Caenorhabditis elegans: one gene and its partners. The protein of the gene in region 1 purifies or fractionates together with the protein of each later gene. This does not show direct contact. Each region holds a gene or a part of one and is shown in the gene's direction. Other genes may lie near its edges.

The links.
Region 2: the proteins of W09D10.4 (region 1) and endu-2 fractionate together in Caenorhabditis elegans (co-fractionation; one large-scale study listed by BioGRID). This does not show direct contact.
Region 3: the proteins of W09D10.4 (region 1) and glb-1 fractionate together in Caenorhabditis elegans (co-fractionation; one large-scale study listed by BioGRID). This does not show direct contact.
Region 4: the proteins of W09D10.4 (region 1) and T24C12.3 fractionate together in Caenorhabditis elegans (co-fractionation; one large-scale study listed by BioGRID). This does not show direct contact.

Annotation. Positions count from the first base shown.
Region 1 is NC_003281.10:10,710,167-10,718,163, reverse strand, and holds W09D10.4 (Protein phosphatase), read left to right. Parts: upstream 1-1,972; 5' UTR 1,973-2,082; coding exon 2,083-2,161; intron 2,162-2,518; coding exon 2,519-2,767; intron 2,768-3,368; coding exon 3,369-3,545; intron 3,546-3,643; coding exon 3,644-3,738; intron 3,739-4,378; coding exon 4,379-4,621; intron 4,622-5,627; coding exon 5,628-5,777; 3' UTR 5,778-6,634; downstream 6,635-7,997. Other genes in the region: W09D10.5 (N-acetylgalactosaminide beta-1,3-galactosyltransferase), read left to right, coding at 6,767-6,810, 7,543-7,655, 7,710-7,777, 7,828-7,939.
Region 2 is NC_003284.9:8,240,273-8,249,085, forward strand, and holds endu-2 (EndoU domain-containing protein), read left to right. Parts: upstream 1-2,028; 5' UTR 2,029-2,050; coding exon 2,051-2,105; intron 2,106-2,157; coding exon 2,158-2,375; intron 2,376-2,507; coding exon 2,508-2,861; exon of another isoform or gene 2,862-3,075; coding exon of another isoform or gene 3,076-3,244; intron 3,245-3,297; coding exon of another isoform or gene 3,298-3,563; intron 3,564-3,611; coding exon of another isoform or gene 3,612-3,700; intron 3,701-3,786; coding exon of another isoform or gene 3,787-3,928; intron 3,929-3,971; coding exon of another isoform or gene 3,972-4,031; intron 4,032-4,075; coding exon of another isoform or gene 4,076-4,226; intron 4,227-4,275; coding exon of another isoform or gene 4,276-4,504; intron 4,505-4,790; coding exon of another isoform or gene 4,791-4,961; intron 4,962-5,006; coding exon of another isoform or gene 5,007-5,140; intron 5,141-5,204; coding exon of another isoform or gene 5,205-5,278; intron 5,279-5,355; coding exon of another isoform or gene 5,356-5,486; intron 5,487-5,531; coding exon of another isoform or gene 5,532-5,708; intron 5,709-5,754; coding exon of another isoform or gene 5,755-5,834; intron 5,835-5,882; coding exon of another isoform or gene 5,883-6,097; intron 6,098-6,127; coding exon 6,128-6,325; intron 6,326-6,381; coding exon 6,382-6,599; intron 6,600-6,643; and 9 more. Other genes in the region: kqt-2 (Ion transport domain-containing protein), read right to left, coding at 3,076-3,244, 3,298-3,563, 3,612-3,700, 3,787-3,928, 3,972-4,031, 4,076-4,226, 4,276-4,504, 4,791-4,961 and 6 more; M60.6 (Tetraspanin family protein), read right to left, coding at 8,165-8,275, 8,319-8,445.
Region 3 is NC_003281.10:8,921,543-8,925,658, reverse strand, and holds glb-1 (Globin-like protein), read left to right. Parts: upstream 1-2,368; 5' UTR 2,369-2,374; coding exon 2,375-2,568; intron 2,569-2,866; coding exon 2,867-3,152; 3' UTR 3,153-3,260; downstream 3,261-4,116. Other genes in the region: ZK637.12 (uncharacterized protein), read right to left, coding at 403-561, 612-713, 759-881, 928-1,125, 1,210-1,368. UniProt on the Caenorhabditis elegans protein: May be a globin and may play a role in oxygen transport.
Region 4 is NC_003284.9:2,197,191-2,205,972, reverse strand, and holds the start of T24C12.3 (Carbohydrate kinase PfkB domain-containing protein), read left to right. Parts: upstream 1-2,079; 5' UTR 2,080-2,133; coding exon 2,134-2,285; intron 2,286-2,332; coding exon 2,333-2,408; intron 2,409-2,682; coding exon 2,683-2,781; intron 2,782-2,825; coding exon 2,826-2,937; intron 2,938-3,067; coding exon 3,068-3,301; intron 3,302-3,353; coding exon 3,354-3,474; intron 3,475-3,557; coding exon 3,558-3,643; intron 3,644-3,689; coding exon 3,690-3,814; intron 3,815-3,980; coding exon 3,981-4,037; intron 4,038-4,819; coding exon of another isoform or gene 4,820-5,078; intron 5,079-5,127; coding exon of another isoform or gene 5,128-5,283; intron 5,284-5,336; coding exon of another isoform or gene 5,337-5,406; intron 5,407-5,453; coding exon of another isoform or gene 5,454-5,535; intron 5,536-6,087; coding exon of another isoform or gene 6,088-6,273; intron 6,274-6,338; coding exon of another isoform or gene 6,339-6,512; exon of another isoform or gene 6,513-6,533; intron 6,534-6,980; coding exon 6,981-7,060; intron 7,061-8,184; coding exon 8,185-8,266; intron 8,267-8,314; coding exon 8,315-8,443; intron 8,444-8,487; coding exon 8,488-8,602; and 2 more. Other genes in the region: T24C12.4 (ShKT domain-containing protein), read left to right, coding at 1,012-1,054, 1,108-1,288, 1,354-1,531, 1,580-1,732; T24C12.1 (Tetraspanin family protein), read right to left, coding at 4,820-5,078, 5,128-5,283, 5,337-5,406, 5,454-5,535, 6,088-6,273, 6,339-6,512.

The DNA of each region.
Region 1 (7,997 bases):
ATACTGTTTTGTTGATTTTTTTTTGATTTGCGCTTTTATTTGAGTGTGGTGGAAGACGCGGAGGAGCTGATAAGTGTTCTGTTTTCATGCTTTTCCATCGATTTTTCTCCTTGTCCTTCGAGAGGTGTTTCGATTTTTTGTTTGGCTTTGAAAACTTCTAAAAAATCTGAAAATTTAAATGTTTAACGAGTGTGTTATATAAAAAACCAAGATTCCCATAGTTTTGGTATGATCTACATTGTATTATTTTTACTATCCTACCCGAAAGGTCTCTAGGCACGCCTGTAGGCATTCCGCAATGCCTGGACAGCTTAAACATTGCCACAACCCGTAAAGTTCAAGGCTTTGGGGTTCAACACATTCTCTGTGTCAATGACGTCATCCAAAGAGAATCTGGGTTTCCACTTCTTCTATCTCTCGTTTTTCTCGCTACTTTGTTTGCGTCTACGTGAAAAATACAAAAGAAAAATGAAAAAGTTTCACCGCCTCAACCAGCTGTGTGTGCGTGTTCCCCATTTCAGACTTTGACCTCTTCTGTCCTTTTTCACATCATCATTGATCTTCGGTCATCACTGTTATCAACTATTCAGTTTATTCAACCAATTGATTGATGGCCATGCTTGTTCCAGCAACCCGATTGATCGTGTGTGTGTGAACGGTTTGAATAATCTTCAGATCAAACTTGAGAGATCAGTTCGTGTCCGGTGTCATGTTCGTCCCGGTGTCATGTCTTTAGTTATTTGGTTATTTAGTTTTATAGTTCTTCAGCCATGCAAACCCATTCTCTGATTTTTCAACGACATGCTGTGTTGTTTATTGATTTTTCTTTGACTTCAGTTGTTAGTGCGATAGATATAGAGTGGGAATTCTGCTTTAAAATACCCAAAGTTGTCTGAAATTCAGAAATACCTGTAATTTTCCAAACATTGCAAGTTTTTTTTTGGAATTTTCAGAATTTCAATTTTAATCGGCAAAAATTGTACGCATCCTATGAACGTTCCTACATCTATTTTGAAAAGTAGGCAAATTTCTCCGGTAAGAAGACAATTTGCCGAAAATGAAGATTTCCGGCAAATCGGCAAATTGCCGGAATTGAACATTTCCGGCAAATCGACATACTGCCGGAATTGAAAATTTCCGGGAAGCCGGTAATTTTCCGAAAATGAAAATTTCAGTCAAATCGGCAAACCGGCAATTTGCCGATATTTCTGGAAATTAAATTTGCCGAAGATGAAGATTTCCGGCAAATCGGCAATTTGCGGAATTGAACATTCCCGGCAAATTGGGTCAATTGCCGGAATTGAAAATTTCCGGCAAACCGGCGATTTTCCGAAAATGAAAATTCACGGCAAATCAGCTAATTGCCGGAATTGAAAACTTCCGGCAAACCGGTAATTTTCCAAAAATTAAAATTTCAGGAAAATCAGCAAACCGACAATTCGCCGAATTTTCTGGAAATTAAATTTGCCAAAATTGAAAATTACCGGCAAATCGTCAAATTGCCGGAATTGAACATTTCCGGCAAATCGGCAAACTGCCGGAATGGAAAACTTCCGGCAAATTGCCGAGTTTACCATAAAATAAATTCCTGATCTTTACAATGAACCTCTAATGTTATGCCTATAAGAAATCCCACGTGATAGGCTGTGAACATTTTTTTGCGGCGTTGCTTTTTCAGAATTTTGCCTGAAACTGGCATTAATGTCTTCTTCTTCTTGACCATTCTGCTTCTATTTTCGTTCTCTCTCACCGAACATCGATCAATCAGAAATTACAGACGCTTCCTCCCTCAAACTCCTCTCATTTTTCTTACTTCTGTTGTTTTTTCCCCGTCTTCACTCATCAGGTGACCCCGTTGCTGACTCTTTCCCGATGAGCTTATTACACTTTTGTTCATGCATTCTTCTTATGATCCCCCCACCCTCTTCTGAACTCGTAATAATATTCTATACATTTTATCGATTAATTTCAGGAGTCGGGCCGGGCACAAACGCGCATGTATTAACTCTCCCACGACGAATCGACTACAATATATAGTAATCAAAACCGAAAGTTTCTAAAATTCCGGTGAACAATCGTAAAATGGTGGCCGGTGTGAGATTACTCGCATACGGACGACTTGCAGTTAGAGCCGTTTTCTCGGCTTCTGCTCTAGATCTTGGTGAGTTTTGGGTCCCGACGCGAAAATCGGGGATTTTTTTTTGGAAATTACATAGTTTAAAAAAAAAAGGAACTGATAACTGAAACGCGAAAAAATAATTTCAGACCTAGAATTTCTATGTCAAAAATTACAACATTTTTACTCAAAGTACAGCAGAACATTTTTTTTATAAATTCGGCAATTTTTGAATTCCGGCAACTTACCGATTTGCCATTTTTTTGCCTGGATTTTGTAATTGAATTTATTAGTAACATTAGCTGGAAAAATTTTCGAGAAATGTTATAATTTAAAAATAAATTTCAAATTTGAACCCCAGTAGGAACCCCATTTTTCTCAACAAAAATTGAAAATTTCCAGGCTCCACAATCGGCCCAGAAGCGATAAGTTCAGGCCGACGAGGGCTCTCAAGTGGCTCATCAAAACCAAAACCATCGTCAGAAGGATCTCCATCATCGCCAGCTCCGAGTGCTCACGTGGAAAATGTGATAGCAAGTTGTGCAGGATTTCCGAAAGATATGTTAAATGGACCATCAACTGTACTGGATAAAGGAGTATTTGGAGATGATGCATGGTTTATTTCACGATTTAAGAACACTTTTGTAGTTGGTAAGTTGGTGAAAATTGCGGCGAAAAATTTGAAAATGAAAAAAAATTTTTAATTGGATATTCGATTTTGATAGTTTCGAGAAATAGAAAAAAGCAAATGTTTCAATTTTTTTTGAAAAATTTTTAAAAAGGTATTTATATTTCATAAAAAACAACCTATGTTTGATAATTTCAGAATTTTTTCCGGTTTGTCTTGTTAAATTTTGACCATTTTTCATATTTTTAGAAAAAAAAAACATGTAAAATTGAATTTTTAAGTTACGTTTGAATTTTTTTCAATTTTTCGTATGCGATCCGATTTTTTTTTTGGATTTTGGACCAAAAATTGACAAATTCTAATTTCAGGTAAAATTTTCGAAAAGCCTTTTATAAAAACAATTTTAAAAAATCTAAGAATTGCAAATTTTGGAAAAATATTATTGGAAAAATAAATTTTACAAATAAATTATTAGTTTGAAAAATGTGAAACAATAGCGAAGAATTTAGTAAAATAACGGAAAATTCGAAAAAAAAAACTTTTTTTTTTCTAAATCCACAAACACGAAAAAGTCAAGTTTTGACATTTTGCATCGAAATTTTTAATCTTCAACACATTTTCCAGGTGTTGCTGACGGAGTTGGTGGATGGAGAAAATACGGAATTGATCCATCGGCATTCTCGCGGAGGTTAATGAAAGAATGTGAAAAACGTGTTCAGAAAGGAGATTTCGATCCACAAAAGCCTGAATCTCTCCTGGACTATGCTTTCAGAGCATCTGCAGAGGCGCCGAGGCCTGTTGGTTAGTTTAATTGATTTTTTTTGAAATTTGAAAATTTTTGAATGCAAAAGGAACTGACATAGATCCTCTTCAAAAAAATTTCAAAAAATAATTTTCAGGATCCTCAACAGCATGCGTTCTTGTCGTCCATCAAGAAAAGTTGTATTCGGCGAATCTGGGGGATTCTGGATTTATGGTTGTTCGCAATGGAAAGGTTCATTTTTAGATATTTTTTTTACTAAAGTAGAGTGTTTTAAAAACTTAAAAATTAGCTACAAATTTTTAACGAAAAAAAAAATTGGAATTTGATTTTAAAAAATGGCAAAAATAGTGTAAAGTTAAATTTCCAACAAAATTCATTTAAAAAAATTATTTTCACAAGTTTAAAAGTGGCAAATTTTAGCTTAAGAATGTCCTAAATCTACTAAAATAGCGAAAAAGGTTCCGGATTTAAATTATATATACATTTTAATACAAAAATTATAAATTTTTTCCCAAAAAATGGCGAGCTTTGCCTCGAAACCAGTAGAATAAACTAACAGACCATTTCGAAATTTGTTTAAAAATAAATTAAAATATAGTTTGGAAAAAAAATAGATTGAAAAATTTGAAAATAGGTTCGTTTAGAATGATTTTTAAAAAAAGAAAAATGGGCAATTTTGGCTTAGAATTTTGAAAATCTGCCGAATAAAAAATGAAATAATAGTATATCGAAATTGACAATTTTATCAAAAAGTTGAATAGTTGAAAAATAAGAAAATGATGGAAATTAGCCAAAATATTGCAAAAAACCACAAATTTGCACCAAAATCCTATAAAAATTTGTTTAAAAAACTGTTTTTTTTTTGTTGCAGATTGTATCAAAAAGTCGTGAACAAGTGCATTATTTCAATGCACCATTCCAATTAACACTTCCACCAGAAGGATATCAAGGATTTATTGGTGATAAGGCTGATATGGCTGATAAAGATGAGATGGCTGTTAAGAAGGGTGATATTATTCTATTAGCAACTGATGGTGTATGGGATAATCTTAGTGAGCAACAGGTGCTCGATCAGCTGAAAGCTCTTGATGCTGGAAAGAGTAATGTGCAAGAGGTTAGAGTTTTTGGATTTTGAAAAAAAAAAATTTTTTTAATTTAAATTATGCATAAATTCTCAAAATTTTTGTTAAAAAAAATAAACAATTCTCTCTGCAACTGCATATTTGGAATTATTTTTTTTTTTTCAAAAAATTTGTTTTTAATTGAAAAAATAAAAAAAAAACAATAAATAGCGTTTTTTTTTCTGGTTAATTTTGGTTTTTTTTGTTGCAAAATGCACGAAAACTGGCAAATTTTAAACCAAAATTTCAAAAAAAAAACCTCTGAAAGTTAATTTTTTGGTTTCGATTTTTTATATGTGATAATCAAACATAACTGACAAATATTCAGTTTTGTTTTCAAAAAAAAATCCGTTCTGTATGAGAAAAACGTCTAAAGCTCCGAGTTTTCCGTGTTAAACCTACAATTCCGAACAATTGTAAATTTGGAACTCTCTGAAAGTTTTCTAAATGTGACTGGAAATTATGAAACAAAAAATTTTTTCGATTTTTGTTAAAAAAAAAATTAAAAATTCACTTTTGGAAAAATATGAATAATTTCCATAAAAGTTGATTTTAAGCATAAAACCTAAAATTAAGGTACCCGGTCTCGACGCGACCGAAACTTGTAGTATGCGCCTTTAATGAGTACGGTAGTCGTCCTACTCCTCCTAGCTCTATCGCATTTTTCTATTTACTTCGCTCTAAAAGTCTGAAATTTGAAGAAAATTGCATTAAAACCAGGAATTTGCACCTACAGTACTCTTTAAAGGCGCGCGCAATGAAAACTTTCAGTTGTGTCAAGACCAGCTACCGTAATTTATCGTTTTTTTTTGTTTTCTAAAAATTTTCAGAAAAATTCAAAAAAAAAACATTCAATTTTTTTTGAAATTTTGAAATTTTCAAAAAATTCATAAAAAATTTATGCAATGCAATTAAAAAATGTCAATAAAAAAATCGCAGAAATATCGGTTTTCAATTAATTTTCCCCAATTTCCCAATAACCCCACACAATTCTTACAGGTATGCAATGCTCTGGCACTGACCGCCCGTCGATTAGCATTCGACTCAAAACACAACAGCCCATTTGCAATGAAGGCTCGTGAACACGGATTCTTGGCGCCAGGCGGAAAACCAGATGATATTACACTTGTCTTGCTGCTTATTGCCTAAAAGATTCTGTTTTTTTTTAATTTCTGAATTAGATTAGTAGTGTTAATTACTTTTTTTGTTTCTTTTTTTGCCTTCTCCTCCCACATTTACAGGTTCCACGTCCCCACCCCCTCAAGATCACCAAATATCAATTTTCGCTCCCTTTTTCTCCCCTAAAGTAGGGAAAATTATCGTTTTTTGAGATCTCCTCCTCCCTATTTTGCTCCTTTTCTCCCCGAAATTCCCCCTAACTTGTGCCTTTTTTGAGATTTTTTTATTGGATAACGCCACGTTTTCCACGTAATCGGGAGTTTTTTACACGTAATAAGGGTAATCAATAATGTTTTTTTTTCTAGTGACTTAGCGTCATTTGTGTCTTATATTGCTGACACGGTTAGTTAGTTGAGAATTAATTTTTTTTGTTTTGTTTTTTCTTGTATTTTTTAATTGTTTTGAATGCAAAAAATTACAGAAAATTTTCCCAGATTTTTAGTAATTTTTGAACCAAATTACACTTTTTTCCGGATTTTTGAGGTTTTTTTATGCTAAAAATCTAATTTTTTCAAAATTTTCATATTTTCCAGATTAACTTTTACAAAAAAATTGCTTCAGAATTTAATGTTGAGAAACAAATTTCCTGAAAGTTTTTGCAAAAAATTGATAATATCTTTAGCATTAAATAATTTTTTTCTGAAAAAAATCCAATTTGAAACATCTTTCTACTAAATTTCAAAAAAAAAACCCAAAAAAATACGAAAAAAAGTGTAATTTCCCCCTAATTTTGGAGTACTTTTGCTCTTTATCACCTGAAAACCCACGCACACCCTCAATTTTTTTCTCCTCTATCTTTTCCGTATACAATAAATTTTCTAGTCGAATCGATCTCTCCTTCTTCTCGGTCTCCGAATAAACAAGGAGACACATCACTGAGAAAGAGAGAAAGACAGTCACTTCTCTCGGGAGAACACACACTTTCCCTGCCTTTTATTTCTTGACCGATATATGGGGAAATGACGACGATCAATATTTTCAAGTCACGGATCAGAAGTCCCAGGTACCAGTTTTCAAAGAGTTTCGCGGAAAATAAAGCGAAATTTGGGTCTCCTCGTGATTTGCCATGCATTTTGATATAATTATGTGCCGAAGAAGTGATTTAAAATTATTTTCGCTATCACACGAACACAAAATTCTCGGAATGCGTATTGCACAACATACTTGGCGCGCAAAATATCTCGTAGCGAAAACTACAGTATTTCTATAAATGACTACTGTAGTGTCGATTTACTGGATCGAGTTTTTTTAAAGATGGAATATCGCTGATCGAGCCCGTAAATCGACACAAACGCTACAGTAGTCATTAAAATATATACTGTAGTCTTCGCTACGAGATATTTTGCGCGTCAAATATGTTGCACAATACGTATTCTCAGAATTTTGTATTCCCGTAATAGATTTTTAAACTTAAATTGCTAATTTTTTTCGTAAAATACAGTGCATGAAGTTGGTGTGTGCACAATTTTGAATTGCGGACTCAATGCAACATATCTGACGCGCAATTTTTCCAAACTGAAAAAAAAACCCATTTGAAAATTGCGTGAAACCACTTTTGATGACATTAAACCATCTCTCAATTTTATTTCCGGCAATTCCCGGCAAAATATGCCTCGTCATCGGAGCCGATGCACCAGATTTCACGCGCAAATTTATAGAATAATGTACGGAAGAGAATGGCATGTGTTGCTACTGTGTTCACATACATTGTTTCAAGGGAAAAAGTCAATTTCAGAGATGTTGTGATTCATTTGGCGCTGGGCGTCTCACTTGGCTACCTGATAGGTATTTTGTTCATATTTGATGGAGACAACGATATTTCAAAACATATTCATTTAATGGAACATGGTATCTATATACATTTTTTATTTGAAATTTGTGATTCAATTTCATCTTTTCCAGAAAAATCCACACCAAAACCGGAATCCTTTAATCTCCGTTGTGTTATCATTCTCCACAAGGCTACCCACGTAAGTCGCCAAAAATTAAAAATTTGTGCGTGAAATTCGATGTATTACAGAAGCCAGAAAATATAATATCCGCAATCACAGATGGGTACGCAAAACTGTGTCAGGAGACGATATTCTTCACGAATAATCAGAAATTATTCGATAAGTTTCAGAAATTTCAAAGTGAGTCGGGGCCGAAATCGCGCTCTGTTGCACTTTTTAATTTCAAATTTCAAATTTA
Region 2 (8,813 bases), on another chromosome or scaffold:
AAAATGTTTCCAAAATAGATTCTCAAAGAAAGAGACTATGAGACAAATTCTGATTTTTTCAGAAGCAAAGAGTTGGCTCCATGTACATTGGTCTTTTTACACAGATGGATAATTCTGAAAATTCTAAAACTTTTGATTGAAAAACAGAAAAACACTTTTTCCGATGCCTGAACGCTGCAATAATCTAATACAAAACCGTTAAGAAAATAAAACCACAAAAATATGTCGACGTAGTGCACATTTAAAAATATGATTTTTGCAAGAATAAATTACCGATTAGGTGTTGCTCGTAATCTGCTTTGTACATATGTTGCTAATTTTTAAATATTCCACCACAATTACGACAAAAGTTGGTGCGTGCGACATTTGCAAGTCTAATGTTTACTTTTGCTCGTGAAAAGTTTGTACCTTCAGAACAGGGTGTTTTTGTAAAAATTCCAGTAATAAAATGACTTCCATACAATTTTCTGATATTTTAACTCAGTTAATTTTTTTTTCTCGTCGAGAGAAAAGTAGCGATCAAAGTTCACACAAATTGTACGAAGACCTTACAAACAAACAATTTTTAATAATTGAAATGTAAATTTTTCTGAAAACTGAATTTCAATTCAGTTTAGGGATAAACGTGTACATGCCCTAGTTTGAACATTATCCCGTTTAAGTTGATGAAGACGCATAATATAAATAATTAAAAAATACTTGGACTATAAAAGAAAACAAGTATTGCTCATTCAAAACAATTATAAGTTCTGAAAAAACGGTACAAATCACACACACAAAAGTTTTTCAAAACAAATTTTTTTCAGGACGCTCCTTTGAGGCTTCTCTATTTAAATATTAACACGCTGTGTTTTGTGCATTTAGTTAATATAAATCAGTTCTATTCTTTACTTTTCGAATGACTGTGCTTAATCAGAAATAGCCTATTAAAATCTGTACAAATTCCATGCATTCTTTTATTTTTAGTTTATAGTCAGATCATAGTAATGAAAAAACCAATAAAATCGGTTTTATCATTTGAAGTGAGCAAACTATTTGAACGGGTTTTCAACCTTCAAGTTATGGAAATAAGTTAATGTGAAACAATAAAAAAATTAGAGAATATCTAGAAATGTCAAACAATAAAAAAAATTCTAGAAAATCTAGAAAGAATTCTAGAATAGTTCCGAGGACATCTTAAAATAATCATGTAAGATGAGATAAAATCGTAAAGCTAGGAAAAATTACTGATATTAAAAACTGTACTTTTCTATCAAAGTCTTGATTCGGTCAAAACTTCTCGAATCAAGAGTTTAAAATATAACAATGACAGTTAGAATCATTAGACTGCAGAAAAACTTAAAAATCAACATTAACTGGGGAAATTGCAATTCTGAAGAATGTATTTTCACTCAAATTGAGCAAATATTTTTCTTACATTCACATCTCTAATCAAATATAAAAAATTTTCATCGTTACTAAAAAAGTCAGAAACAAGGATTCAATTTCAGCATGAATGCTGGGGATTTTGGAAACGTTTAAATTTGCGATAAGTTTTGCACCTACTCTGGAAATGATGAAACAATTAAAATATCAGATCGCACTTATATAAACAGAAAGTTGTTCCCTAAGAATGCTAAACCTCCAATTGATGTCTACCGTGCCAAAATTGGCCAATTCCGTGACGAATCCTTGTCTCGCCATTGTTTGCAGACGACCACCGCACAATTTCAGTTTTCTGAACAAAATTTCATAGAAAACGATTGTACTTTGAAATGGAAAAGACCGATGTTGCTGATTTTTCACATTATCAGCAATTCGGAAATAGTCACGTTTTGTCCAGGACATGTGCGCTAACATCACCAGTAGCCGCCCCTTTGTCGTCATCAATGAATACTGAAGAAGACTTTGGGTCGAGTCAGAGCAAGATAAAAGGCTAGGTATATTTGAAGATAAGACGTTTAATTTTCAGTTTCAGATTGTTAATTTTAACACTAATTTATATTAGTTCAATTTGCCAGCACATTTTTAAATAAACCTATATTTCAGGGAGTAAAACCGAAAATCACAAATGATGATCCTTAGGAATTGTGTATTTTTCTTTGTGGCAGCTGCACTTGTATATAGTAAGTTATTCATTTTTATTAAAAAATTAACTAAACATAAATAATTTTCAAGGCAAGCCAATTCAAAATGTTGATCTCGCCGCTGTAAATACATTCCTCACCAACCTTGCGGCTTCTGATGTTCGAACGGACTCATTGGTTACTTTGAACTACCAGAACATGGCATCAAAGAAGAGCCCAGACCACGATAACGCCAAAGACCCCCTTTTCACAACTGTAGACAAATCTGTTTTGGGAAGCAACGCGTACATCACAATTGCCAATTTGATGGTGAGTTTTGAAACGCTCTAATGAGCCGATGAATCTTAAAGGATGTCAGGAGATTTTTGGTTTCCTGGAGCAAACAGCCAGCTGAAAAATCAATATATCTGTCCAAAATTAATCAATGCCCAGTGATTTCAGCCATTCTTCAACTACGACAGTGATACCGCAGTGCCGACTTCCGCCGACTACGCTAGCGCAGTCAAAGATTTTCTTGACAACTTCATTGCCTCGGATGCTGTCAAACAAGCATGGACGTTCCTTCAAGCTCAAGGAGTATCTACTAGCGATCCAATTGATTTCCGTCAACAACTCTATAACTTATGGTTCCTTCCGTATGCTAGAAACCAAGCTCTTGGAAGCTGCGGATTCAAGTCTGTCTTTGTCGGAGAAGCCACTGGTACTGTCGTGAACCGTTTTGCTAACTGGGTTGGATTCTACATTCAAGAGAATGCCGGAAAATTCAATTATCATGGATGGTTCACCAAGCTTAACGTGAGTTCATTTATTTTCTGGGGTTACGTTAGTTCAATGGCAAATTATGAAACTTTGAGTTACTGATCAGTGATGGAAGTTTCGTGCGCTATCAGCACTATCAGAAGAAAAACGAGAAGACATAAAGCTTCTAGTTAAAAGGGAATAGATAAGAAATAAATGACAATCGAGTAGCAGTGATAGAGCACGTGGTGATAATGATGACGTAAAATTATTAGACTCTATCCAAGCTGACTGTTTCGCAATCGTCGAGCGTGTCGTACTGGTCGACAATTGTGACCTGGCGTCTCGGTCCAATGGTTCTTTGTTTTTTGTTGTTAGCACTTGGAGGTTTTGGCGGAAGACCTTGCTCGTCCTTTGTCCTTGACGCAGCTTCTTGGGTGCTGGAAAAAATATTTGGAGATAGGAATTTGTTAGAATTGTTTGTTTCGTTTACTCCATCATCATTAAGTTGAGACACTTGATGGTGATTTCGTTCAATGCATCGGTTTTCCGTTCCAAATCTTCCATTCGTTTTTCACAAAACTCCAAACGTTCAATGATTGACAACTTCTGTCCGGAATCGTCAAAAGGCGAGACGGTTGGCTTTCCAGTGAGCTCTAAAATTGCAGCTTCCAGTTCTTTCATTTTCTGATTGCGCTGATTTTCCCTTTCGGCGATTTCGGCTTCAATCATAAGGAGTTGACCGGCGATACGTTGGGTCTGTAAATTTAACCATTTTCTCAAAAAGCTGTCAAAGAAAAAGCTCACGTGGAACTTGTTCATTATGAAACGGAACATGACAAAGTAGTAAAAACGGAGAAGCGGACGATATTTGATAAGCAGGCTGATGTCTACTTCTGAAAACAAAAAAAATGCAAGGAATGCACCTGCGCTAAGGTTGAGCCCTGTGGCTTCCAGAGCAAACTCCGCCCAGATTGGTTACCTTTTGAGCTAAGCTCATCGACATTCTGTTCAAGAAAGTTGGTTATTTCAAATTGAGTCTCCAACTCGGATACATCAACAGAGGAGGACATCGAAGTTTCAACAGAGCTGTTTCGAGCTTCCGCAAATAGAACTCGTTTACGCTGTAATCTTTAAGACATTTTTCGAACTATCAAATCTCCTTACTATAGCCGGATCAACAACTGCTAGCGTGTCTGGCAGACTGGAACGTCGATCTTCACTTCTCTGAATGTTTGAATGTATACTTTCAATATAGTCAGACTACTTACAGTTCTTCTTAACGAAATTTTCCGTTCGGCCTTATCAAAACTATCTTGTTTTTCCAGCATCGGCTTTGCCATGCCTTTAAACCCAAATTTTAGTATTTCAGCCGTTACCGAGTTCTGATGCGTGAGAGACTTCTTCTTGATAGGACGTTTTCTAAATTTAGATGAGTTTTCGCATGAAAGCGTTTCTTAGAAAAACCAACTTCTCCAACTTTTCCCTTAGTTTCTTCGCAAGTACTCTATTCTGATTAATACGCTCCTCGGTAACATAGAGCTTGTAACAGACATGCACGAAATATGTATAACGACGAGGAGGTTTCCAATTCGTGGCCAAATGATATCTCCACCAGCATTGAATAGTTGAAGCGGCCAGATTTCGTAATCTGTTCGTCTGTTGGTTTTTGTTTTCTTCTTCCATCATCAACGTGAGACCTAGAAAAAAAGTCAATTCAGTGGAATCTAAACCTTTCAGAGAAATCTTAAATGCCATTTTCAATTAATCACGCATTTTACTAGGATTTCGTGCTGAAAACCGACAAGCCGGAGAAAAAACATCAAAGCATTTACTAATGGAGTTGACAACTTCTTCCAGAAACTGCACGTCTTTTCTCATAGGCTTAGAAATTTTCCAAAGTCAAGCGATACACAATTTGAAAAATTCTGTGGCAACAAAAATGAATAACCAAGTTGGTAGCTTAATGGGAACAGGTTCACTCACCAACAGATATTTGGGTATTAGCAGCCTGGAATGTGCAAAAAGCAATGAAGCCAAGCACACAAACCAGAAACTTGGTAAGAGCTCCAACCGGATATATGTCACCATATCCCACTGTCATGACGGTGACAGCAGTGAACCACCATGAATGGGCCATTGTTGGAAACGTTGCGTCTATAAAGGCGATTAATAAAATAACAATGAATATAATCAACTTACTTGTTCCCTCGGGTACAATAAGACCGTATCCGTTGTCTTGAATTCCTTGAGCTAATGCTTCAGTAGAATATACAATGGTTGCAAGACTCAATCCGACAACAAGAGTTATATAATAAGTTGCCATGAGTTGCCATCTGAAAATTTTAAGCTCGCATGCAATACATAACAAAAAACTAGAAACTGGAATAAAAAACTCACTTTCCGAGTATAATCATTTTCCTTAGCAGTTTCCATGTAGCCATTTGGCGATCGACATGGAAAAGTCGTAAAATCTGAATAATGACGAGTTGGCGCAAAGAAAATGGCGTAAAACAGCAGAGTCCCATTAAAATCGTACTAGACAACCAACCTGGATGAAACGCAAGGTATCCAAGGTGGAACCGTCGACATCATGACCCTTGAAAACGAGCAAGAGAATTGTGGCTGGGATGATGAGAATGTCAATAAGGGTAACTGTGTGGAATAAGTAATATAATCGACCTGAAATTTGAAATATTCAGTTATTACTAACAGTTGGAAAATTACCATATTTAGTTCTGTACTTTGCATCTGCTCTAACAGACCATAACCTTACAGCAAATTCCAGGATAAAAAATACTATCATGAAAATTTCAAGGAAAAAGTGAATTTTTGAGACAGTACTGTCATTGTCATTTGTAGCAGCTCCCAGTATAATATTTGCAATAACTAATCCAAAAATAACTGAAAATCGATAATTATCATTAAAAATCATGATTTCTAAACTCACAAAAATGATATGGCGCTGACGCTGCATTCAATGGTTTTTCAAGGAAGTTATACACTTTCAACCGGATACGACGGAGATTCCTAAAATGGATTACAAATTTTCGAAACAAAATTATTAGGGTCTGGTACCGTTGCCTTTGATTTCCAAGATTAATAGTGGATCTTCTACGGATGTTGTCCGAGACTTCAGTTTCTGAATCTTCGGCATCGTCGATAGTCAGGGAGTGCATAGAAATCGCAACAATATGAGCACCAAGCGTCACTTTATTGCCATTTAAACGTGTTAATTGATAACAAACATTGGGGTGTTGGAAGTCAACTGATAACGCAACGTATTTTGGCATTAATTCATTGATTTAATTTTCCATTTTCAGGGCATTGCCATTGACCTTCAATTTGTTGCTGGAAGTGATGAAGATTTGGAAACTTCCTTCCTTCTTAACTCTTCCCCAACTTTTGAATTTGCTGCATATACCGTTGCTGCCCTTACAAATACCCAACCATCAATTCTCATTCAAGGAGAGGAAATTGACATTCAAGCTCCAACATTGAGTGTTAACAAAGCCACCGTGGTATGATAATTTTTACATTGAGTTTTTTTCAGAAGCTAAATGATTTTGTGTTTCAGCTCGACAAGGTTGTGATTTCCTTCGGATCCAGCAGCAAGGCTACCACAAAACACGCTGGGAGTGGAACCACCAAGCACAATGGTGGATCCACTGATGCTGCCCTTCAAACTTTGGTTGATAAGATGTGGGGAGATGATCAGGATAGACCATCTGCCACGCAAGTTACTATGAATTGGGGAGAACATATCAGTGGAAAGACCGGTACCAAAGGGGCCAAGTAAGAGATTGGATTAATTCCCAAAAAAAAAAGGTTTTTTCCAGTTTGTTCACCACTGTCGATGAGTCCATCTTCACCAAGAAACAGTATGCAGACCTTATCACAACATACACTCAAGACCTCTTCACTGCTGACGTTTGCAAAGCTGAACCAGCTATGGGAGGATTCAGAAAACAATACCTCCAAGGTGTTTTCAACACTTTCACTGCAACCCCAATGTTTGCATCGGCATTTGCTTATCTTCAATCGATCAACTACAAAGAGACTAGCAACTTGACCAACTTCAAAACCAAAGTTTTGTGGCCTTTGTGGTTCGGAACGTACACGCGATGCAAAGGTCCACTTGGTAGTTCGGGTATGTTTGACTTACAAACAACACACAGTTCAGCTCAGAAAATAATGTGACATTTTGTGTTGACATGTGTGAACAAACTAAAAACTACTGTTTGGCTACAAGGTCTAACATTCAACTATTTGTAGGATGGGAGCATGTATTCTCCGGTGAGATCAAGAGCAACGAAGTCGATGGACAACACGACTGGGTCAGATACTACACAGAGCAAAAAGCCGATAAAATGGTTTATGATGGTTATTACACTCATGATGAGGTACCATATTTGAATTTCATGAAAATTTGCAAAATGAGAAATTTTAGAACTTAATCGGAACATTCCAATACAAATGGAATGGAGCCTTGAAGCCAAAGGGTGGATTTTTCACTGGAACTTCACCAGGTAACATTTTTATTTTCATCAAGAACCGCAAATAAAATAATATTGCAGCATTCGATTTCTCAATCCTATCTGTTTGTGCACTTGCCCATGGAAACGGAGGAAACTGCCACTTTAAAGTTACCAACTATCCTATTACTGTTACTTCATATCTTCAAGATTGTGGAGATGGTTCTGGAACTTGCTTGGCCACTGCCTATCCAGGATAATTTATGACTTGTTCTTGTGGTTTTTATGTAACAATTACAATAAATTGATAATAAGATTAATTTTAAACTGAGAACTATTAACCCGAAACCAAAGTTGTTTTTGTATAAAAATCAAAATTTGAAACCATTTCCGAAAAGATCTTGAATGTCAAATCAGCCAAGATTTTTCTCAAGACAATAGAGCTGTGAACTTTTTCACTTTTTGAAATTGACATTAACAACTGGATCTGGAGAGAAAATAATTGTTTTTTTCATAATGTTTTCTCTAGTATCTGATACTACTGTTTTGCTTAATTTCTGAAATATAACTTTAAAATCACGCGATGCACCTTTATTGCAATGATGACTGGAAATTTATCAATAAAGACAATGGAGACATTTAAACCAGTAAAAATGGTAATTAAAACGAATAACATTTACTACCATTTCGTTATTCGGACCGTAAATGTTGAGAATCTGTTTTTGGTTTTCATGAAATGCTGATATTGGATTTTAAATAAAATACATGAATTGAATATCGCTCTACGATGAGATTAAATGCACTACGCATGGATTTGATATTATGCAATGTTGAACTTGAATTTTGATCTTTGATTTTCCATTGTTCATCTCTATTTTTCAGTTTCTATTGCGTCGATCCGTTCGGCAAAGACGAATACGTGTTGTTTTCTTCCGATTGATTCAATGGTTGCATCTCAACAGTAAGGTCTCCGGTAGCACTTTGATCGCCCAGTTCCTGAAAAAAATGAAATTGCATAAATCTTCTTGATTCAACTAACCTTCAATGGTGAAAATAGCGTCCTTGAAGCAACGACGCAAGTGGCGATCGAAAGAAGGAACTCGAGAATCGCGGCGGCGATGAGGCCGGCATCGAGACGATAGTCGGTTCCAAGGCGAGTCATTCTTCTGTAACATTTCATGATTTACAGGAGCTGGGATATGGAAAAAAGTTTCAATACGCAAATCAAAGATATTTTAAGACAAAATGCACATAATATTTATTTAGTTACAAGTTTTTTTGGACTATATTTTGTGAAAAACAAATCTTTTGTAACCACTGTTTCAACTAACATTATCCAGAAAAAACTACTAAAATATAAATTGATCAAAATTCAAACATAGAATTTTCAGATTAATTTCTGGATAGGTCAGAGTAATTTTTAAACGTTAACATTCACTTGTTAAGTGTACATTTTAGAGGTATCGTCAGTGAAATTTTTTTTCGTCTACTCAAATGTTTTTACACTGAAAAAAACAGTAACACTTTTCACAAA
Region 3 (4,116 bases), 1.8 Mb from region 1:
TCAACTTTTGGTTCTTTGCAAAAATTTAAATGGGAAATTGAAGAGCAAGTGAATTGAAAACACGGTAAAATAGCAATTCCCTCACAGTTCATCAAATTCGGTTTATTGGTGCTCGGCAGTTGCCTGTCTGCAACGTCACAAAATGAGACAAAAGAGCATGTTCTACTAATTGTTTCATTAAAAATTAAAAATAGGATGTATAATTATTTCAGTTAAAACAATTGGAAAAAATTCTCAAAAATTGTCAGAATGTTGAAAATCGCCACAAATTTTCAAAATTTATTACCAGCAGTTTTTAACTGTCGGTCAGTTGTTGAGTGTTTTTTTTTTGTGGCATCTAGATGGGAAGAAAGATAAAAACGCCGCTTTCTCTTTATTTGACAAAAAATACAATAAGAAGTTCTAGTTCACAAGCTTGGCGTCTTTTCCACAAAATTGAACGTTTCTAATCTTTTTTCCATTCACAAGCATGGAGATATCCATCACTTTTTGCGAGTTTTCGTCGAAAAATACAAGTTGAACATCAAGAGATCCATCTTCGAGACGTTGTTTCACATAGACCTGCAACATTTTTATGAGAGGAATTATTAGATGGTGTTCAGGCATACTACCTTCATTGGCAATTTCTTCACAGTTCCATCGTCATTATTAATCAAGTAATGATTGTCCAGAACAAGAGCGCCACCTGATGAATTATTAGATTTTTTGAACGTCTGAAACAGTAATTATTGTTGAGTTGGGATAGCTTTCCGGCTTACAGAAGTTGTCAACTCAGTAATTGTAGTGGTCTCCGACTTTGTGAAATTCGAGGAAGACGTCGCCTTTTTAGAATTCGACACCGACGCCGAAGTATACGGACTCGTTTCACCGGCGCACTTTTCCTGGAAAATGCTTTGTTTTCATGGAAAAGTAGCAGCAGACACCCACCGAACTCTCGTAAGACAGGGACGGAACATCGAAATCAATCGATTCGGCGCGTCCGAGTTGCTTATTGTAGATCATACGTGGCTTCGACGAGTTTTTCAGTGTCTCATCCATGCATGTTTCCTCGCACGAAATCAGCTTCAGGTTATTTTCCGAAGGCGGTGGACGGGGCTTCTTGTCAACCGGCTTGGGGATTTGCATCTGAAAATTCCCCAGTCAGTTGTCACGTCATTTAATTCAAATTTGTTAATTGCTTTAGAGGTTATCCTCTTTTAATTTTCATACCTTCAACTGCTGGACCTCCTCCATGCGTCGAGCCTCTCTAATCAGCTTCTCGTTGTCCATCATTCGATTCACGTGTTTGCCACGTTGCAGCAGTGCCCGAATCGCTTGATCCAAATTGTCCATCGTTTTGACTGTACAATCGCAATTCACGCATTCCATCCTTTTCGCTTGCTTCGAATTTTGAAAGTTAAGGAATAATTGATTTCTGGTTTTGAATTGTTGTTTTGATTTTTTTCATTCAACTTTTCAAACAAATTAGGCTACACGTTTAAATGTTCAATAAATTTTCCATTGGAAAGTTAACGTTAAAAATTAATTGTAAGAACATATGTGAAATGAGAATGGTGCAGTTGTAAAATGTCAAAAAAGTGATAATATGGTTCGAATATTAGGAATAAGGGAAACCCGAATTGAACCTTTTGAGGTTTAGATTTCAAAAATTTCCAAATTGTTTCCAAAGGTTTAACTTCTCTTAAACAACGCAAAATTATCAAAAGTCTGCAAAATATAGATTTTAAAGCAATTGTACATGTCTCGAGAGTAGTGAAAACTGCACTGAAAAAGTTACAGATTGAAGTTTCAGGGGTTGAGCATGAAGCTTTGCCGTTTTAATCTTAATACATTTTCCTATAACTTATTTTTTGTAGTTTAGATAGAATTTATGATTTTTAAAACTCAATACTAAATTTTCAGTAATTTCCAAATGTTTTGATTTTTGAGTTTCCATCTTTACCCAACCCTAATTTACTCTTTTCTCCACCTCGTCTGCCACTTGAAAATTACCTCCGTTATTTGGATGTTGTTTACCAATTTACTGACCTTCAGAGTCGCAAAAATCCCGCCTCACTCCTTTCCGTTCCAAAATGTTAGATAACATTGGAAATGCAGAAACGCAGAGCATCCAAAAGATCATAATGTTTGTCATCATTTGGAGGCGGGAAGGGAAATGGGCGGAGCCGTGCGGACTGGTCAAAAGTCGTTATTTTTCGGCGGTTTGAGGCATTTTGGAAAGAGAAAGAGAGACTAGATGGAAAACATTCACTAGAGTCTCTTTTCTTTCTAACTTTACTATGGTTATTTCTAATTCTTTTTTAATTTTTATTTTTTAAAGATTTATATAAGATTTTACAAACTCCCAATTTAACTAAATATTTTTCAGAGAAAAATGTCGATGAACCGTCAAGAAATTAGTGATCTCTGTGTGAAGTCCCTTGAAGGACGAATGGTTGGAACTGAGGCTCAAAACATTGAGAATGGAAACGCCTTCTACCGTTATTTCTTCACCAACTTCCCGGATCTTCGTGTCTATTTCAAGGGAGCCGAGAAGTACACTGCAGATGATGTGAAGAAGAGTGAGAGGTTAGTATTAACACTGTAAACTTTTTGATATTGGTTTCGATTTTAGTTAGCAAAATTTGACGTGTTTCCTCTAATAGTAATGCACCCCACTACTTCGCTTTTGAAGGTAATAACTAGTTCAATTTTGAAGATACCAATAAATAATTAACTGCACAACAATAGGAAAAGAAATAAAAAACATTTTTCCAGGTAACAATTTTTTTAAAGCTGTTAAAATTAAACAACGGGGTGCTATATTGTAGCGTGTCTGACTAATGGAAATTATCAGCAAAACAAAACTAAATAATTCCAATTCCAGATTTGACAAACAAGGCCAACGTATTCTTCTTGCGTGCCATCTCCTTGCCAACGTCTACACCAATGAAGAAGTCTTCAAGGGATACGTCCGTGAAACCATCAACCGTCATCGTATCTACAAAATGGATCCAGCTCTGTGGATGGCATTCTTCACTGTATTCACTGGATATCTTGAATCTGTTGGATGTCTCAATGATCAACAAAAGGCCGCATGGATGGCACTTGGAAAGGAATTCAATGCTGAGAGTCAGACACATCTCAAGAATTCCAATCTTCCACATGTTTAATAGATCTGAATGTTTTGAGCCTTTATATTGTATTTGAATGAGCTTTGAGTATTATAATGATTATCTCTCTTGGAAACGTTTTTGTACAAAATAAACAAAGTATTTTGACATAGTTCACAGAAAATTAATACGTACTTGGCAACACTTTGGAACTTCAATTTATTGTCCATTTCCATGATGCAGCCGTCACATTGCATGCCATCAAAATATTTATCTTGTTTTTAATTCACCATGAACCAAAGAACCGAATATCTCTCGAACTGACTTCTGATGTTTTGATCTTTTCGTTTTCGAATTGCCTGCCAACACGTGTGAATAGAGACCAACAACATGGCACGTACACTAGCGTTTTACACTTTTTCCTCATTTTGTGTACACTTGAATTGCTTGAATTACATTAAAGCTTCCGTAAATGTTGTGAATATTATGAAGCACGGAATAAGTTTGCGGCACCAAACAAGCTTGGAATACATATCATTTGATTCGACTGGATTCGACTGAACAAAATGCAATGATTATAGTTTTCCACATTAAATAATACATTAACGAAATTTTTGGGATGCTATAAAACAATCAGAACTTACAAACTAATAAAGGTACTCTTGTGATGTAAAAAAATACAGAAAAAAAATCAACAAAAACAACTTACTATTTTGAAACATCACATGAATAGACCAATTGTTTTGGTTTGTTTAAAAATGAAGTGGCGCCAGTAGGAAATTGCTTTGAAATATTCCTATGGCATTCCAATGGCCAAATATCATTGTAAAACAAATAAAAAAATGTCAATTTTATTTGATTATTTTGAAAATTGAAAAAATGTCAGGTTTTGTCACTCTTTTTGGAAGTTGGCGGGCAAAACATAAGTATTTTTTTTCAAATTTTATGGCCGACTCATGTTTCAAATAAGAATATTCAGACACTTTAGGGATTCGAGTGCTATAGTATTTAAAATTCAAACATT
Region 4 (8,782 bases), on another chromosome or scaffold:
TATAAATAACTTAAAAACAGTCACATTCAAAGGAACTACTTAAAATCGAAAAACCATGCAATTTTGCACTTTAAAATTTGATTTTTCAAAAATTCTTTGTTAAAAACCAAAAAAATAAGGTCGAAGGAAAATGGGATCAAAAAACGCTTCAGTTCAATTGACGAAATTGACAAAAACCATTCCACTTTTTTGAATGGTTTAGGCTCTTCAAAGAGGCAAATGGTGAAAACTATGTGTAAAACAGAAATTTCAAATTTTTAGGAGAAACAATTTGTTTAATGAATGAAGTTATTTCATTGTTGGAAGCATGAGTTTCTGATAATTAGCGTCAGTGGGGATCTTTTCCAAATGCACCAATAATGATATAAAATAACCATATTAAAACACTCCAAAAGTTTTTAGATTAAAAAAAAACTTCCAGTCAGTCAAAGAAGTTTTGGCTAGTTGCCAAATTTTGGAAAACCTTTTAAGAAAATCCAGAGCAATGTCGCAAGAGTCTACCCTTATAATGTTTTAAATCAACTAAATAGAATACAATTAAAGTATAAAAGTCGTCGAAAAAATAAATTTTTTTTGACCTGCTTCCAAAATTATGAGAGGCAAAAACTCAGTAATTGCAACTTTTTGAGAGTGAATAAAATTTCCAAAAATTTTTTTGGAAAGATTTACTATGATAGTATGCCAACTTCAATATACCCCACACTTCTTTCCGCGATATTAATCACAGACACGTGTCACCTACGTGTAATCACCGATGATCATCCAGTAGTGCATATGCCAATCACGTCAGAGTTGACGGTCTCTCATGCTCCCATAATGCTTAGCTCGATTCATTTTTCCGTGCCTTCCGGTCATCGTTTACATTGTGTTGTTGCTGCACACTGCTCAACGCCTTGGGGCGGCGCGAAAATGCGGGAGGTGCAGAACCGGAATGATTGGCACTGTATTATAAAAGTACGAGCAATGTTCCGTCGACTTGGGACATTCTCAATTACACCACAATTGAGCGTCATGTGGAAGTACGCGGTTGTCTTTTCTGCTATTTTTCTCATCCGTGAGTAGGCTTTTTCATTTCTAATTCATTTTATTGTTTTTTTTTAATTTTAGATATTGTGGATGCTGGCTTCCAAATTTCACAGCTCAAACCATTGTACAAAGAGGATAATATTACTATCAGTGAGCTTTCCACAGCACTTGGAGCAGCCTTTCCACCATGTTGCTCCGATATCATTTCGAGCATTGCCTGTAGAAGACTTCAACAGCACAATCCTTCGAAGTTCCTAGACAGGTTGGTTTTTTTTTAAACTTCATTAATTGTTTCAAATGCTCTCTGAAATTAAATATGAAGTTCAGATGCGCTACTGACGCTGATTTCTCTTTGATCCAATGTTGTAACACTTGTGGAATGGAAAGCGCTGCCGATAGATACGAGCTCATTTTCCAAGCCGGCCACAAATCCAACCAATGTTTCGACCGCCATGGATCAGAGTTCTGCAAGCGATTTTTGAAGAAGGAGGATGTTTGGGGAAAGGTAGGTGACGCTTTTCTAAATGTTTTCTAGACCACTTTTTTTTTGCAGTCTCAATGGTCTTGCGACGGATCGACTGCACATTTGGCGTTCCGCATTTGCAGAAAAACTTGCAACTTTTGCCGCAGAGATATTTATCGCACACCGCTCGGTCGATTTGAGCCAGTGTCTTGTGGAAAACCACCAGTTCTCATTCCGAACTAAATGTCACACTGGAAACGTAATTTATTCATTCTTATTTTTTAATATTTCTTACTCATTTATTTATTTATCTATTCAATACTTACTAATCTGTTGTAATATATTTTCCTAATTTCATGACGAAAATTAACGAGATCTCGATCGAACCTTTTTAAAATTCCAATTTATTTATTTTAATGATTAATAAAATCTTCACAAAAAAAAAGCTTGGACTTTGAAATTCGTAAAAATGACAATCTTATCAAATGATGGACACTTTTGAGATAGTAAAAAACAGAGTGTAGAGGGCAATCTTATCTCTTCTCTCCATCTTTTTCCATATCGATCTTGTTCGATAACCAGAAAAAGTAGTGTTGTAGATAGTGCGAGCCCCATTCTAGGTCTATTACTCTCTATTTCTCACTATGTGTTCTCGATTTTTTGGCCAAAAACGTTCGTTTTCCAAATTTCTTCAAATTTCTCCACAAGTTAAGGAGGCTCTAGCTAGCGGAGAAGGAGTTGTCGCGCTGGAGAGTACAGTGATCACACATGGACTTCCTTACCCTCATAATTTAAGGTAGTGAATTGCAAATGCATTTGAAACTATTAAAAAATTATTTGCAGTACTGCAAGAAGTTTGGAGCAAAAAGTTCGATCATCAGGAAGTCATCCAGCTACGATTGCGTTATTTGATGGAAAAGTAGGTTTTTTCGCTAGAACTTGTTTCTGAAAATTTAAATTATTAAATGATACTTTTATTGCTGCCACGTTCGTTTTTCTAGCAGACTGCGACATTTTATACCAATATTTTCATATAAAACAATAATATTTTTTTATTCAAAAACTGCCAAAATTAGTGTTTCATCAACTAAAAATTCTTAGGAATTTTTGTGAAAACTTAAACGCTATAAAATTAAAAATCATTTTTTGAAAATTTTAAATAGTGTATACCTAAACATTTTCATTTTATTCAGATTCATGTTGGATTGGATGATGAAAAACTGGAACTTCTTGCTTCAAGTCAGAATGCAGTCAAAGTTTCCTCCAGGGATATCGCAAAGACACTGATTAAAGTAAGTTTGATCTACTATGATAAATTTTTCAATGTTGATTTCAGAAAGAAGTTGGAGGAACTACAGTAGCTTCAACTATGAAGATAGCACACGCAGCTGGGATCAGTGTATTTGCAACAGGTGGCATTGGTGGAGTACATCGTGGTGCAGATCAGAGTGAGTTGTTTCATGTGTTTGGTGTTTTTTTTTTGACCCGTGAAGTTTTAGGAAAATTGTTGAATTTGGACAATTTTTTTTACCATTTATTCAAGTTCTTTTTTTTCCGAACAGCAAAAAAATTTTCCAGCATTCGATGTTTCGGCTGATCTTCAAGAACTTTCGCAAACTCCCGTGTGTGTGGTGTGCTCTGGAGTCAAAAGCATTTTAGACATACCCAAAACTGTCGAATATCTTGAAACTCATTCCGTGAACTGCATAGTTTATGGGCAAGAAAATGTGTTTCCAAGCTTTTTCACTAGAACATCAGATAGAAAAGCTCAATTCTGCACTGAATCATTGGAAGAAGTTGTTCACCTGTTAAGTGAGTTGATGAAAAATATTGGTTCATGAAGTAAAGTCATGAAGTGTTTCAGAAACCTCGAAATCTCTCGGATTACCTTATGGAACTATTCTGGCTTGTCCTATTCCTGAAAAATATGCAGCTGATGGAGATGCGATCCAGAAAGCAATTGACCAAGCTGTTCAAGAAGCCATGTAAGTTAAAATTTAAATATGTTGCACTTTTTAAAAATATTTTTTGAAAAGTTCCCTGTTTTGCTTCAAAACTTTACTTTCAGTGAACAAAACATCGCTTCACAAAGTGTCACCCCATTCATTCTTGCAAGAGTGAACGAGCTCACACAAGGAGCTTCAATGGCTACAAGTATGCGTTTTGAACAATTTTTCCGCTGTTAATTGTCATTTTACAGACATTGCACTTCTCGAGAATAATGCGTCAATTGCTGGAAGACTAGCCGCAAAGCTCTGCGATAGACGTCCACTTACAATTTCACAGAGCCAACCAACTGCATCAACGACTCGAAAACCAAAAGTGGTGAGTCAAACCTACAATAAAGTTTTTTTTATTCACTTGCGAAATGTGGTATTGTTCTCATAAAAGTTTGAAACAACACAAGCTGTCTTAGCAAACAACCAACGCCTACTAGTTTCAATGACATTTATTTGTCAAACGTATCAAACAGATCACGACTGTTTTTCAGGTTTCTATCGGAGCAACTATCGTTGACTTTGAAGCCATCACGAGTGAAGATGTAAAGGTGAGAATGAAACAAAGAACAATTGAAAATGAGCAACAACAAAAAAAATCAGAAAAAAACATTTGGGGAATGGAGTATACCAAAAAAAAAAAAACCAAAAAAAACATGACAATTTAGAAAAGAAAAACTTTTGAAAAACACGTAAAAAATTATGATGAAAGAAACTTAGAGATTTGAGTGGTTTGCGGATTTTAAAGTGATTGAGCCGTGGAAAGTTGTCTGAAGGGGACCTAACGGTTCAGACATGGCACAGAAAAGTAGACACAAGTGAAACCGCCATAAAAAATTATTGAAAAAATTTTGAAAAGTTTCATTACGAAATTCGTTTATTTGAGTTCATTTTATTCGAAATTTGCATTATTAGATCAAAATTGCCCAAACCGTTTAAACTCATTTAAAAACAAAGTTAGAGAAAAATAATATACACTAGGTGAAACACTCTCGACAATTTGCTGCAACTCATCCACCAACTGCTGCAACTTTAGCAATGCCAAGCGAAGAAGTTGCTAAATTTGGGAAAAAGGTTGGATAAAATTGATCAAAGTAGGTAAACTTAGTAGAAAGTGCTTGGCCAAAGTTGTAGATATGTTTCTATAGTTCGTAGAAACGTTGCAAAAGTTGGTGTATAAGTTGTGACAAATTGCCGAACTAGTAAGATTCATCAAAATATTATTTTACCAACAACATCTCTTATACCAACATCACACCCTTGCAAACACTTTCACAAAAACCCCTGAACTGTCGGAATGAAAAAAGGAGAAACTGAACTGAACCCCCAAAAATTAAAACTGTTCAGTAACAGCAGCCGCCTCAAGTTGTCGTGCATTATGAGCAGCAATCGCTTGTTGTAGCTCTTCCCGAATTTCATCCCCACGGACCGTAAATTCGTTCTCCACCTCCTCGATTACAGAGTGCTTCAAGAAAGGTGAATATCCTGGGAAACTTTTAACGCGGCTGATTCCTGATGTTTGGGTTGACGTGCTGTCAGCCAAGTTGATATTGCTCTTGAAGCTCTCGATGTAACCATCTCCATGGCGGTCACTGAAATATAATTGTTGATTATTAATGCTCCTCAAGTCATAGTTATTACTATTCATTAATCATCTGAGAGTAGTATTCAAGTTCCGCCATTTCTGTTTCAACTTTCTCGATATCTTTTCGAAGAGCTGCGATCATGAACAACTTCAGCGGCGTGATCACACAAAAAGCAAGACATCCGACTATTTCTGTATTGGAATGGAGCCATCTGCAAGATTTTTTTGTTCATATAATTTCAGTTTTTCCTGAAAGATATGTTACCTCTTGAGATGAATATAGCAGTCATTGGAATGTCCAGTTGGGCAAAACGATTTTGTAACGTTTAGAAAATCTGAAATACAGAATTTTATGAGGGGAACAACTGTAGAAACTAGATACCTGCACATGTTTGTAACACTTCTTCGGGTGGGCAGCAAATCAAAGTCTGATAGACGTTATCCCAGACAGAGCATAGTTCTTTCTGAAAATTAATAACACGTGTTAAAAAATTACACAATTTATCAAAATTTTGCATGGTGATATTGAAAAATCTGAAAATGTTTTCAGTGTTCTAGTATAATTTTCAGCATTTTTGGACTATAATAAATGTAATTAAAGTTGATCATAATTGCAACCGAATGTATTCAAACTTTTTGAAACAATTTAGCAATAAGAACTGCGCCGGGAGCGGAAAAGTCATGAGATCCCAAATTCCACGTATATGTGCTAAAATGTGTAATCAAGACCATCTGATTTTTTTTGGTCAGAGTGATAGACTAATAATTTGGTAGGCTGAACTAGGCTGAAAACAATGCTGCATAGGTTTTTTGTCAGTGCGAGTTTTCAAATCATTAAAAAGGAGGTCTTGTAGAAATTGGACACACTGTATCAATAATTAGTATTCCTCAATGAGTTTAATAACTCCTATTTTTCCACGTTTTGTTCTGCACAAACTGTACTGGTTTAACTTTAAAAAATCAACCTAACTGTATACTTGGTTTTTCTCCCGGATTTCAAAATCTTGAATACTTACACTGCTATTGTGAAGTACTTGAATGTGGGAATATAGCGAGGTGTGAGCTGTGGACATGATGCTTGCAAAAACGAAAACCATGACAGCATCCACAATAAGTGTACAGCACTTTATCCAATGACAAAAAACGACAACGCCAATTTGTCTTTTCCGAATTGCAACAATTGATGCGATACACAAAAGTGCCTGAAAACAATGGTTTTTGATGATACATAGTGAAACTATTAAGTTCGGAGCTTTGCACTACTCACCAAACAAATATTGATGAAGCAGTATCCAAGAACATATGGATCATTCTTTTTGATAGGAATCAGCACGAATAATGGGCTTGTGAGCATGACAATCGTGGCGCCAAGAAAGAGAAAAACGGCAAGCAGGAGTATCATATTGCTCCCATAAAGCCATGCCGCTTTACCAAACCGCATGCTGAAAACTTGTTATAATTATGGCAAAGTGATTCTGAAAATCAATGATGAAGGTACAAAAAACAGGAACGGGGAAAGATTTTTGAAAAGAAAGACGAACAGGAAAACACACACCTCGCACATGTTTGTTTCTTCTTTCTCTCTCTCTCTACGAGGATTGATTGTGAGAGAAACAGTGCTGATGGCTCGTCTGTATGATTGATGAAAAGTGGGAGGCCAAGACAAAAAAAGAGAAAGAACAAAATAAAATAAATGAAAACTGTGTGGCAGAAGCTTCCGGCACACTGCCAATCGGAGAGCAAGCTTTCTGATTCATTGCTATTTGAACAAAGTATCAATGCGCTACTGTCACACATTTAAGTGATCGCTTCAAAGCACATAATGTTTTTTTTTCTAAAGAATTGAGATTGAGAATTTGATATTGAACTCCAATATATATAATATCCGGTAACACTTAAATGATTTCAGGATGATGGCGGCTCATACAACGGACAAGTGGTACAGCGAATGGGAGGAGTAGCAAGGAATCACGCGGATGCATTAGCAAGGTCAGAAATACTCGTAAATTAGAATGTCATCGCTTGTGCGTCGCGCTAAAAGACGCACCACCACTTTCACTTTTGGCACACAGTTTTCATACATTCACAAGAAATCGAAATGATATGTTTTTCTTCCTGACCATTTTTGTTTTGAATTGAAGAAAAAAAATTGCTAAGAATTTGTAGCGTGGTCAAAGTACAGTGCATATTGGGATAAATAATTGGAATGATGTGAAAATGTAGTGTTCAAATGAGGGGTGGGTAATTGCCGTTCGGCAAATCGGCAAACTTGCCGGAATTGCTCAACTCCGGCAATTTGCTAATTTGCCGTTTGCCGGTATCAGTTTGCCGGAAATTTCTAAAAGGATTTTCGATAAGGCGAAAACACTGAACCGTGCCATTATGAAATGTTTTCCTGTTTTTGAATTATATTCACATATAAATTGCTTACTTTCAAAATAGATGTAGGGTGATCCGTAGGATGCGTACAATTTTGCGGTTCAAAATTTAAATGTGTATAGAGTTAAAGAAAAAATGTGTAAAACCTTAATTTGCCGATAATTTTTGGCCATTGCCGTTTTCTGGCAAATTCGCCGATTTGCCGAATTTGGCAAAAATTTGAAAAACAGCAATCCACCCCCGGTATACTAAACCAAATACAGAAATACAAAATGTCATAAAACTAATCAAGTCCATTTGCATTTATGGACTTGTGGCTTTCATTTTTTGTTCAAACCAAAAGCACAAGCGAGACCTTTTAACTTCTCATCACATCAAGATAGTACAATGTCACTGTAAACTTCAAAGATGACCGACAACACAATACCACCAAACCTGATGCTCAAACGAAAGTAAATGTTGCCGAGGTATTTGTGTGGATCGCAAAAGAGCGAAAAAGTAATTTGAACTCGGTCTCTTTGGAATTCGATTTTTTTCTGCTCTTATTTTGACAAACATCCCAAGATCGTTGTTCAGTTTTGTAATTGTTTTGTGTACGATCAATTGTTTGATTGACTTTTGTCTGATAGTTTTGCACTTCAATTGAACTTTAACTGTATTGCAGGCTTGAGCCACGGCGCGCAAAGTGCTTGATTTGAAAATAGCTTTATCTTAAAATATATTTTTTATTTCAGGCTTGGATGTGATTCAGTTTTCATTTCTGCTATTGGCGATGACAACAACGGACATTTCTTCAGACAGAACAGTCATAAAATTGTAGGAAATTTTTTTGTTGTTTCTCATGGAAATTTTCGTGTCGTTTAGGATATTAATCGAGTAAAGATTATAAGCAACAAACCAACTTGCACTTATTTAGCAGTCAACGTGAAAGGAAACGTGAAATATGGAATTGTTACTTGTGAGCCACTTCTGAGTGTCATTACTCCGTCATTGGTGGGTATAATAGGATACGAGGCAAAAAATAGTTGTTTTTTCAGGTTGAAAGCAATGAAGATGCATTGGAATCATCAGATTTCATTCTTCTTGATTCAAATCTATCAGTTCCAGTTATGGCCAGAGTTTTAGAAATTGCAAAGAAACATGATAAACAAGGTATGGTGACTTACATAGAATTAACAAAAACAGACAAAAATATACAAGGCTTCAGTTTGGCTCGAGCCCACGGACATTGACAAAGTGAAAAAGGTGTTCGACACAGGCTTGGTTGGAGCTGTAACTGCCGCATCGCCAAATGCCAATGAGTTTCTGAAATGGGCTAAACTCTGTCACGTC